Linked DNA regions of Callithrix jacchus. The protein of the gene in region 1 purifies or fractionates together with the protein of each later gene. This does not show direct contact. Links are inferred from orthologs where the notes say so. Each region holds a gene or a part of one and is shown on either strand. Other genes may lie near its edges. The genes, in order: MORF4L1, H2BC21 and RBBP7.

Region 1 (3,650 bases):
CCTGTACCAATACAATATTTAATATTTTAGCATCTATACTGCGAATCCCCCCCATTACACACTAATTTGCAAATTCATTTTTATACTACCAAGCATAGACTTACTTTAGGAAATCGTGAAGATAATTCAGTAATAAAGCAAGGCTCTTCTCATCCAGAGGTGTATAGGCCAACATTGCTCCAATTCGTACTGTTTAAACAAGAGGAATTATCGAAAGTTACATCCAAGGCAGCAGCACTTTAACCATGTATTTTAATTATGTGAGCAAATGCAAATTCCTTTAAAATACATTATTTTAGGCCGAACACAGTGGCTCATGCCTGTAATCCCAGCATTTTGGGAGGCCAAGGTAGGCGATCACTTGAGCTCAGGAGTGCCAGACCACTCTGGCCAACATGGCGAAACCCCATTTCTACTAAAAATACAAAAATCAGCTGAGTGTGGTAGTGGGCACTGTAATCCCAGCTATCTGGGAGGCTGAAGCAGGAGAATCACTTGAAACGGCAGGCGGAAGTTACTGCACTCCAGCCTGGGCGACAGAGTGAGACTCCGTCTCAAAAATAATAATAAAATAGAAATACATGATTTTTAAAACTCTTGCTCTTAAAGATTCTTTTGCTATTTAACATTCTAGATCAAAGTTCAAATTAAAATGGAGTCATGTTTTGGAAAGTTAATTATCTCATATTCATTTAGGGAAGACCCTCCCCCCAAAAGCAAAATTATTTTCAACATGGCATTATTACCAAATAGTCTCAGTAGATGTGGCGCTCCATACACCTGGGACATGGGTGCATCAGGGTGATCTGCAAGAATTTCAGCATACTGTGGTCTCTCAAATTTGTAGAGTAGCTGGGTACCCAACATTACATTGAAGTATTCTTTTATCCCTGCCACAACTTCATTAACCGCATACTCCCTGATAAATGAACAGAAATATTCCAAAACTGGTCAATGAAAAGAACTGAGATAGAGAATAATTTAATCAACCAATTTAAAGAATTAAGAGTTGAGCTAGTAAAAATGAACCCACAGCTGAGATTTTTTTTTAAAAAGGCACATGAAAGCAGCGTTTGACAAACTTACATTTTCATATGGTTATGCAAATATTTACATGATAGTTTAAACTGTGCCTAAAATATTTACTATCTGGCCCTTTAAGAAAAAGTCGATCAGCCAACTCCTATGTCAAAGCAGTGAAATTCTATTTTGCTACTTTTTGGTGATATGTTTCAGAGTCAGTACAAGTTTCAGATGATTTATTTAGAAACACATTTTTTTTAGAATGTCTTTTGAGTGTATTTGAAAGGTGTATATTCTTACTTATTATCTGTGTTTCCACGAGATTTCTTGTAATTTGCATAATCCTCAAGAATGGAATCCACATTCTTCTTGGCAGGAAGATAAAAGAGCTATCAAAACAAAAACATGCTTGAATATAAGCACTCTTTTTTTTTAAAAAAAATTACACCGGGAAAATTTTTATACAATAAAAATTTAATTACAAACAGTTTCCAACTTACAATGGTTTGACTTAATTTTCCAACTCTCTGCTGGGCCTATTGGGATGTAATCCCATTCTAAGTTATGGAGCATCTATTTATTTAAACAGCCAAATGTGGCCAGTGAGGCTGTACTGGACAGAACAGCACAGCTTTTAAAAATATCAAACTGTTAGACACACAAAACAGACACAAATGTGCCTCTGTGGTATTACCAACTCATTTACTGTTATACATATTATTTGCTAGACCTAGTCTAAAGCATTAAAATAGTTATCGTTTTATCCTCTCATCGACATTGTCAAATAGGAATTATTATTCCATTAAATGCAGAAACAAAAGCACAAAAAAAGCTAAGAAACTTGTCCAAGCTCACAAACAGTAAGTGATACAGCCACGGCTTGAATCTTCGCAGTTTAGCTGTAACTGCATAATCCTCCAACGGATTCAAATCAGAATTCAAACTATGTCCGTATGTTGTATATGACTGATATGTTTTAAGTCTCATAATCCTCAAGCAGTCCCTAATCATCTGCCCCCCACCATCCCTAACACTACCTATGCCATTTGTTTAAAGAGCTTCATTTGTCCCACAAAATTCTCAATTATAGAGTTCAATGATGGATAAACATGTCGCTCCATTAAACATCCTATTTCCTGCAAACTAGTAACAGACCCAGGAGCTTAGATTCAGGTTCTTTTCAGGGTCATGAATATCTTGCAGGTGGTGACAGGTGCTTTCTATGGCCTACCATTAGCAGGGATGAAGACAGTAAACACATGCTGCTTTGCCTTTACCTATTTTCAGAATTACTTCCTGCCCTAGCAATCGCCAAAGTGTTATTGACACCTTTATCATCACAAAGTCATAAAAGCTTTTTTTTTTTTTTTTTTTGCTAGCAACAATGTATCACATTAGCTAGCAATTTACCTGCTTTTGCCTGGTAATTAAGTCCCAGTCATCAACAAGCCATGGTTTTAGTTCTTCAGGAATCTTTACTTTAACTTCAACTCTGTTCATGAATGTTTCCTCCTATACAGAAATAGAAGAGTATTTAAAAACCTACCTTTATCACGCCACTGCACACCAGTCTGGGCAATAGAGTAAGACACCATCTCAAAAAATAAAACAAAAGAAAACAAAACCCCTATCCTTTCTTGCTAAATACCAAACATGGAAGGGAGTTGACTTTTAAAGGCACTAGGTATAAATTCTCAAAGTAGCTAAGCATACAGCTGAACTGTCATTTTTAAAAACTGTAAATGAAAAAGACCATACACAGCTTTGCTGCTGGGAGAAAAGAATCTGACCTTGAACCATAGTCTATTTAGTACACTATCACTTAAGGTAAAAATTCTTAAGTTCCTGTTGTTCAGGAAATGAAATAAGTGATAGTACACTATCACTTAAGGTAAAAATTCTTAAGTTCCTGTTGTTCAGGAAATGAAATACCCTGAGACTTGATACGTTTTAACTTAGTATTTTCATATTTACCACTGACATCAAAACAACTGTTCCTAACACAACCATCTTAAAGACCCATCTTGAACTCATAAAAGTAAACATACTGATTTCTAATAGTTTTCAAAAACTGCCCCAAAATGCCTATTTTCAGATTCTACTACTTTTAGCTTCAGATATAAACTATGCCAGTTAGAAATTAAAATTCTAGGCCAGGCCGGGCGCAGTGGTTCACGCCTGTAATCCCAGCACTTTGGGAGGCCAAGGCAGGTGGATCACGAGGTCAAGAGATCGAGACCATCTTGGTCAACATGGTGAAATCCCGTCTCTACTAAAAATACAAAAAAATTAGCTGGGCATGGTGCCGCGTGCCTGTAAACCCAGCTACTCAGGAGGCCGAGGCAGAATTGCCTGAACCCAGGAGGTGGAGGCTGCAGTGAGCCAAGATCACGCCATTGCACTCCAGCCTGGGTAACAAGAGCGAAACTGTCTAAAAAAAAAAAAATTCTAGGCTGGCTGCAGTGGCTTATGCCTGTAATTCCAGCACTTTGGGAGGCTGGGATGGGCAGATCACGTGGTCAAGAGATAAACACTACCCTGGCCAACGTGGTGAAACCCTGCCTCTACTAAAAATACAAAAAGTAGCCGGGTGTGGTGGCACACACCTGTACTCCTAGCTACTTGGG
Region 2 (3,750 bases), on another chromosome or scaffold:
CTTCCACATTCTTCTCCTTGAAAAAGAAGCTGTGACTGCAATTTTAGCCGTAATGTCGGGACGCGGAAAGCAGGGGGGCAAGGCCCGCGCCAAGGCCAAGTCGCGCTCGTCCCGCGCTGGCCTCCAGTTCCCGGTGGGGCGAGTGCACCGCTTGCTGCGCAAAGGCAACTACGCGGAGCGGGTGGGGGCCGGCGCCCCAGTGTACCTGGCAGCGGTCCTCGAGTACCTGACCGCGGAAATTCTGGAGCTGGCGGGCAACGCGGCTCGGGACAACAAGAAGACGCGCATCATCCCTCGCCATCTGCAGCTAGCTGTGAGGAATGACGAAGAGCTCAACAAGTTACTGGGGGGTGTCACCATTGCCCAGGGCGGCGTCTTGCCCAATATCCAGGCTGTCCTGTTGCCCAAGAAAACGGAGAGTCACAAGCCTGGCAAGAGCAAGTAATAAATAGGCTTGACACCATACCCATTCACCCCAAAGGCTCTTTTAAGAGCCACCAAAGTGTCAAATGAAGGGCTGGTAACGAAACAGCGCATTAGCTCTTTTTTTGAAAACTTGGGTGGCTCTAAAAAGAGCCTTTGGTCTTTGGTTTGTCTGCATTTATTTGCTTTTGGCTTTGTGGCTTTCGGTTTTCTTTGGTAACAGAACGGCCTGGATGTTGGGCAACACGCCGCCCTGGGCGATGGTGACTTTGCCCAGCAGCTTGTTCAGCTCCTCGTCGTTGCGGATGGCCAGCTGGAGGTGACGGGGGATGATGCGCGTCTTCTTGTTGTCCCGAGCCGCGTTACCCGCCAGCTCCAGGATCTCGGCGGTCAGGTACTCCAGGACCGCCGCCATGTAGACGGGCGCGCCGGCCCCCACCCGCTCCGCGTAGTTGCCTTTGCGCAGCAGGCGGTGCACTCGCCCTACCGGGAACTGCAGGCCAGCGCGGGACGAGCGCGACTTGGCCTTGGCGCGGGCCTTGCCTCCTTGCTTGCCACGGCCAGACATGATTAAAACCAAGGCTAAACGCAGACAAAGCTCAGAACCACGCAACAAAATAAGATTGAAAGATCACCAAGAAGAAAGCCTTTATAAGCTTTCTTAGGGGTGGGGTCAAGGACGAGTTTTTCATTGGTCCTAATTTGGCTTCAGAGCCGGCCAATCAAGTCAAGAGTCGGTATCGCTACGTAGACGTTGCTGAAAACGCAAGGTCCACACACGGACCAATGGAAGTGAATTAGTTTCGGAGCCTTAATTTGCATAAGATGGTTATAAAAGGATCAGGTCCGCCCATTCTCTTACTTCTTTTCTTGGCTAAGTCGCGTTGGTACTGTGTCTTACCATGCCTGAACCGGCAAAATCCGCTCCTGCTCCTAAGAAGGGCTCTAAGAAAGCCGTCACTAAAGCCCAGAAGAAGGACGGCAAGAAGCGCAAGCGCAGCCGCAAGGAGAGCTACTCCATCTACGTGTACAAGGTGCTGAAACAGGTCCACCCCGACACCGGCATCTCGTCCAAGGCCATGGGTATCATGAACTCCTTCGTCAACGACATCTTCGAGCGCATTGCGGGGGAGGCGTCCCGCCTGGCTCACTACAACAAGCGCTCCACCATCACGTCCCGCGAGATCCAGACGGCCGTGCGCCTGCTGCTGCCCGGCGAGCTGGCCAAGCACGCCGTGTCCGAGGGCACCAAGGCGGTCACCAAGTACACCAGCTCCAAGTGAGTCCCTGCCGGGACCTGGCGCTCGCTCGCTCGCTCGAGTCGCCGGCTGCTTGAGTCCAAAGGCTCTTTTCAGAGCCACCCACCTAATCACTAGAAAAGAGCTTGTTCACTTACTCCCTTAGTTTTTTCTCACAAAGTAAGTTGTTTTAGCATAAGTCATGGGAAATAGCACACGTAGCTTAATCATTTGGAACTCGAGGTCCCCAGTGCATGATTGGATTTGCTTTTGAATCTAGAGCGTGTCGTTATTCATTGTGCTGCTTAGCTTTCCCAGGAGTCCGTTCTCATTTAGGGTGTTGGGAATCCGACTCTGCCCGCCCCCACCCCCGCCTTACACTGGCGCCCTGGTGGCTTCGTTGGGTCTGTTTCATCATTTCAAAACCAAGTGGCTGAGTCCGGCTGTTACTTAAGAGAACTCTGGGACACAATTCAGTCCGGGTGCCGCAAACTGCGTGACAGCGCTGTATGACTGACGCTTCGCAGCAGCTTTTGTGTCCGGTCACCAGTTTTGCCCTGGGATGGGGCCTCCTGTGGATGCCAGCCGTTCTGTGTACTTTGGACGAAGCCCGCGCAGCCGGGTCCCAGCCTTTTCCTGATTGGGCGACATGACTATTCGAAATTCTGCGCCGCTTTCTAATTTGTAGATTTCAGTTTCCGTGGTTCACTTTGAGATTCCTACTTCTCGGTTTGTGGATAATTTTTGCTTTTAATGGTGTCTGCTTTAAAATGGTAACGCTACGGCCCCGGGTCACTGCAAGACACCATGTAGATATGAGCTCAAAAGTCACCTCTCAGAGACCTTCTACGTCATCCACTCAGGAATTCGCGCCTCTCATAGTTCCCGGTCTCGTTTTATCTTCCTCGTAGCAGCTGTCTGAAATTGGCTCGTCTGTTTTCTTCATGGCATTCTCAAGCCCTTGACAGACCGGATGGTCTGGTTTTCCCGTGCCTCTTCAGCCAGTCAGTCTGGCACATTATGGACACTTACTTCAATACTACGGATTGAAGTAATATTGTTGGGTTAATTTTTCCATCCCACTTGTTTTTTAATCGCTTCTGTGGATGGATGATGGGTGCTGTTCATTTCCATTAGATGTACGTGAAGGCGCGGTGAAAATGGAAATGTTTTTGAAGTTATTCCCTCAAATGTATCCTTAGTCACTTCAGTGCAACAGCTGGGAGGGGGCCGTGTTAAGATTCTTTTGCATCAAAGAGGAGGTGGCAATGGTAGTTCCACCTTTGTGCTTCCCGGTTTAGCCTAACCTCCTTTGGATTTTCATCAAATTCAGCGTATTGGTCATGGGAAAGAGCCTTTTTCCTTCTTTTCTACTCCTGTCTTGGTGTTCCCTTCTTAAAGGAGAGGAGCTTTTAATTTGCACTCACCACCTGGTTTGGTTTTCAGGCGGCCATTCAAGATGGGCAGGACTACAAAGTTAATCTCTCTCTCTTTTTTTTTTTAAACAAATGAGGCCAAGAGAAGCCTGATTGGTCCATGGTCATGCAGTTCATACTGCCCACCTTTGTATTCTCAGATGCAGGACAATTGCATTTTAGTTTTATTTTGTGGAAGTGCAGAATATTTACTCTTTCTGTCAAACCCTTGATTCTGCCGAGGAACACACTGATGGTTTGATGAGTGATTCAACTCTACTTTTAGCTAAGGGCTTTGGGAGTTGATTGCAGGGGTTTGATGAATCCAAATGAGCTCTAGATATTATCACAGACTGAATAAATCTTAATTGTCTCCTACATGTGTGTTTTCAAATGTGTGTAGATGTTATTATTAATAAAGTTGCCAGTTAATTTAAAGTCTTTGCTGAATTATTTTATCTACAGTATATTTTCTCAATGAATGAGATTAACAGATACAACTTCCACTGGTTCTGTAGAAAAGCTTGGGAGCCTCTGAGCTGGGGGATGACTTGTTTATAAGCCACCAGCCAAACTGCTGCCCCAAAGGTGCATTGGGGCTTAAATAGTCTGTTAGAAGGTCACTGTTGGCTGGGTGCGGTGGCTCATGTCTATAACCCAGGACTTTGGGAGGC
Region 3 (3,650 bases), on another chromosome or scaffold:
ATATATTCTTTTATTTATTGGCCATTTGCATATCTCCTTTGATGAAATATGTATTCAAATTCTTTGTCCATATTTTGTCTTTTTATTGTTGAGTTACAAGAGTTTCTTATGTATTCTAGGTATAAGTCCCTATGGTTTTCAGAAATTTTCTCCCATCCTGTGAGTTGTCTACCTTTTTTTTTTTTGAGGCAGGATCTTACTCTGTCACCCAGGCTGAAGTGTAGTGGCACATTCTTGCCTCATTGCAACCTCCGCCTCTCGGGCTCAAGTGGTTCTCTACTTCAGCCTCTCAAGTAGCTGAGACTACAGGTGTACAGTGAATTTTTGTGTTTTTTTTTTGTAGAGATGGAGTTTTGCCATATTGCCCAGACTGGTCTTGAACTCCTGGGCTCAAGTGATCCACCTGCTTTGGACTCCCAAAGAGCCAGGATTACAGGCTTTCTAAAAGGATGCTTCCCTCAATGTGTATATGAGATGGTTTCCCAAGTAAGGAAAGTGGACTGTACCCAGTAACCCAATTACTAGTACCTTTTGAAGATACCAGGCTGGGAATTGGTCGTAATAATAGCTGAAATTTACCAGGGGCTCCCCACATGCCAAGCATCATGATAATCTTGCCAGATCCTTCTGAGCCTGTGTGAATGGCAGGATCTCCACATGTTCCTTTCTCTTCAGTCCACGTACATTGAGTGTCTTCATGTGTAAGTAACTGTTACAGAGATGAAGGGCATATATATTATGTAAAAAAAAAAAAAAAAGGTTTTTTTACTGGGAAATAGCTCTGTTACAGAAACTCCTTCATGTGGCTGGATGCAGTGGCTCATGCTTGTAATCCCAGCACTTTGGGTGGCCAAGGCAGGTGGATCACCTGAGGTCAGGAGTATGAGACCAGCCTGGCCAACATGGTGAGACCCCATCTCTACTAAAAATACAGAAAAAAATTGAGCCATGCTTGGTGGTGTGCATCTGTAAGTAATCCCAGCGACTCAGGAGGATGAGGCAGGAGAATCGCTTGAACCTGGGAGGCAGAGGCTGCAGTGAGCTGAGATCACACCACTGTGTTCCAGCCTAGGTGACAGACCGAGACGTCATCTTGAAAGAAAAATTCAGTTTCTTACGGCCCTTGTTCTTTTTTTTTCTCTCTCTCTCTCCTTCTCTCTTAGACTGTCTGTCTGTGGGATATAAACGCAGGACCGAAGGAAGGCAAAATTGTGGATGCTAAAGCGATCTTTACTGGCCACTCGGCTGTTGTGGAGGATGTGGCCTGGCACCTGCTGCACGAGTCACTGTTTGGATCTGTTGCTGATGATCAGAAACTGATGATGTAAGGTGGAAAGTTCAGTGGGATCTTGTTAAATGGGTGACCTGAATGACCATCAGCGATTGCAGCAGGCTGTAGTTTGATTTTTTTTTTTTTTTTTTTTTGCTTATGTTACGGCTTTAAAAAAAAACAGCTTTAGGTAGCTTACTGCTGTAATCCCAACACCTTGGGAGGCTGAGGCAGGAGGATTGCTTGAGGCCAGGAGGTATGAGACCCTGTCTCTACACAAAATTTAAAAAATTAGCTGGGTACAGTGGTGTGCACCTGTAACAGCCCTAGCTACTCAGGAGGCTGAAGTGAGAGGATCGCTTATTAGAAAAAAAATAAGTATAGGTATGTTTGTGTGAAGTGATATACTTGGTGTAGTGGTAAATATCAAAATTGGAATCCAGAGTGACACCAGTTGAGATCAGGGAGGAAAATTATTGCGTCAAGGTATGGCCACAGGGCTGCATTCAGCCACCTATAATCTTACCTCATAAATGTCTGAGGCAAATGTGACAAAATACTGGGCATTTGTCAAAGCTAGTTGTAGGTATGAGATTGTTACATTATTTTCTACATAGTCTCTATTTTCTGTCTGCTTGAAATAGTTGGTAATTGAAATGGGAATCTAATAAAAAACCAGGGCTAATAGCCCTAGCTTGTTCTCTGTAGGTTTTGAAAGTATCATTTAGTGGTCAAGGTCTGAAACACCAACTGTGTGGTTGGTTCTTCATGAAGGACGAGCATAGTGGAGCTAGTTGTGGAGTGCATTGACAGTGACGTGGGGCCGAGTGTGAGTGTGAGAAGCTGAGGAGGCTCATGCATCCTCCCTGGGTGCTGTGTGCCTTTACCTTTGTGTTTTAGATGGGACACCAGGTCCAATACCACCTCCAAGCCGAGCCACTTGGTGGATGCACACACTGCCGAAGTCAATTGCCTCTCATTCAATCCCTACAGCGAATTTATTCTAGCCACCGGCTCTGCGGATAAGGTTTTGAAGTTTTTGCATTATTTGGTGTTTATAAAACCCAGTTCTCTTACTTTAATTAGATATTTGAAAATTCTTAGGTAAAGCATAGAAATCATTTTCACTTGTTATTTTTCTTTAGACCGTAGCTTTATGGGATCTGCGTAACTTAAAATTAAAACTCCATACCTTCGAATCTCATAAAGACGAAATTTTCCAGGTATGTGACAGTTTTCTGGTGTCTGTATGTCAGGAAATGAAATCTAGGGATTCTTCAGTTAAGCTGTACCAGACTGATGGGCCCACTAATGAAAACAATGCCTTGTACATGGTTTTACATAGAGATGTTCATAGGTTAAAGTACACCCTACTGAAGAATTAAAAAGCTTCTGGGATGGTTATGGGGCCGAATAAATTTATTAAGACCCCAGGCTGAGTTCTTCAGTGCTGGGGAGTGCAGCCTTCCTGAGGACAAGATGGAGCTGAGCCATTTCAGAGCACTTGAAAGGCTGGGACAAGAGGGCGAGGCCAATAGGCCAAGGATAAGATCATGGACTGCAAGATGAGAAAATATTGGATTAGAACAATAGCCACAAACCTCGCAGCGAATGATCCTTTAAATACATTTTCAAAATTATCTATTACTAGGTCCACTGGTCTCCACATAATGAAACTATTCTGGCTTCAAGTGGTACTGACCGCCGCCTGAATGTGTGGGATTTAAGGTAACTCCCAGTCCATGACAACATACTACATAAATATGCTCATCTGTCAAGTTACATAGTAATTCATGAACTAGAAAAACAACTTGGTAATCCCTCTTTAAAGAAACCTAATATTAAAGAAACTTAAGTATCTTCCTAAAGAATCTGTTCTGTAAAATAGAAGCGAAGCAGCAAATGGACCATAAAATTTCTGTGATGTGAGTTTTGTCTCTTATTATTCAGACATGAAGGTGTATGTGTCTGTGTTTGGTTTTGCATTCAAATGACTGTATTTAAAACATACTTACTATATAGAGAGAGATCAAGATGTTAGCTGTTTTGTGTCTCATCGGATCTCATAGTACATGTAGGCAGGATTGTTCTTTCTGAGTTTTTGTACCATTTGCTTTTCTCTGCTTTCATTGATTGCTTCTGCAGATGTGCACTCCTGCTGTGGATTGTGTAACTGCTGGGGAGACCTTTGTCAAGGAGACAAGGACAGCCCAAGCTGTCAGCTTATGTTCTCTGGGGCTTATTGTATAAAGAGTTTCTTCCAATTCTTAAAGGTCCTTGACTTCAGACTTGCTGTTCTAAGAATTTTAGACGTCTTTATTTTTTTCATCTGAGCCTTTATAACTTAATAAAGTTGCTTAATACAGTTACAAACTTCTCC

What was found.
Region 2: the proteins of MORF4L1 (region 1) and H2BC21 purify together in Homo sapiens (affinity purification with mass spectrometry, with the first as the bait; 3 studies listed by BioGRID). This does not show direct contact. The link is inferred for Callithrix jacchus from reciprocal best matches to the Homo sapiens genes MORF4L1 and H2BC21.
Region 3: the proteins of MORF4L1 (region 1) and RBBP7 purify together in Homo sapiens (affinity purification with mass spectrometry; 5 studies listed by BioGRID and IntAct, counting the BioPlex papers as one, with this or other methods). This does not show direct contact. The link is inferred for Callithrix jacchus from reciprocal best matches to the Homo sapiens genes MORF4L1 and RBBP7.

What each region holds. Positions count from the first base shown.
Region 1 is NC_133507.1:29,178,201-29,181,850, forward strand, and holds part of MORF4L1 (mortality factor 4-like protein 1), read right to left. Parts: intron 2,536-3,650; coding exon 2,434-2,535; intron 1,413-2,433; coding exon 1,324-1,412; intron 920-1,323; coding exon 747-919; intron 190-746; coding exon 105-189; intron 1-104. UniProt on the Homo sapiens protein: Component of the NuA4 histone acetyltransferase (HAT) complex which is involved in transcriptional activation of select genes principally by acetylation of nucleosomal histones H4 and H2A.
Region 2 is NC_133519.1:9,820,574-9,824,323, reverse strand, and holds H2BC21 (histone H2B type 2-E), read left to right. Parts: upstream 1-1,283; 5' UTR 1,284-1,325; coding exon 1,326-1,706; 3' UTR 1,707-3,514; downstream 3,515-3,750. Other genes in the region: H2AC21 (histone H2A type 2-B), read left to right, coding at 53-445; H2AC20 (histone H2A type 2-C), read right to left, coding at 602-991. UniProt on the Homo sapiens protein: Core component of nucleosome. Nucleosomes wrap and compact DNA into chromatin, limiting DNA accessibility to the cellular machineries which require DNA as a template.
Region 3 is NC_133524.1:17,112,058-17,115,707, reverse strand, and holds part of RBBP7 (histone-binding protein RBBP7), read left to right. Parts: intron 1-1,163; coding exon 1,164-1,324; intron 1,325-2,170; coding exon 2,171-2,297; intron 2,298-2,415; coding exon 2,416-2,493; intron 2,494-2,921; coding exon 2,922-2,998; intron 2,999-3,650. UniProt on the Homo sapiens protein: Core histone-binding subunit that may target chromatin remodeling factors, histone acetyltransferases and histone deacetylases to their histone substrates in a manner that is regulated by nucleosomal DNA.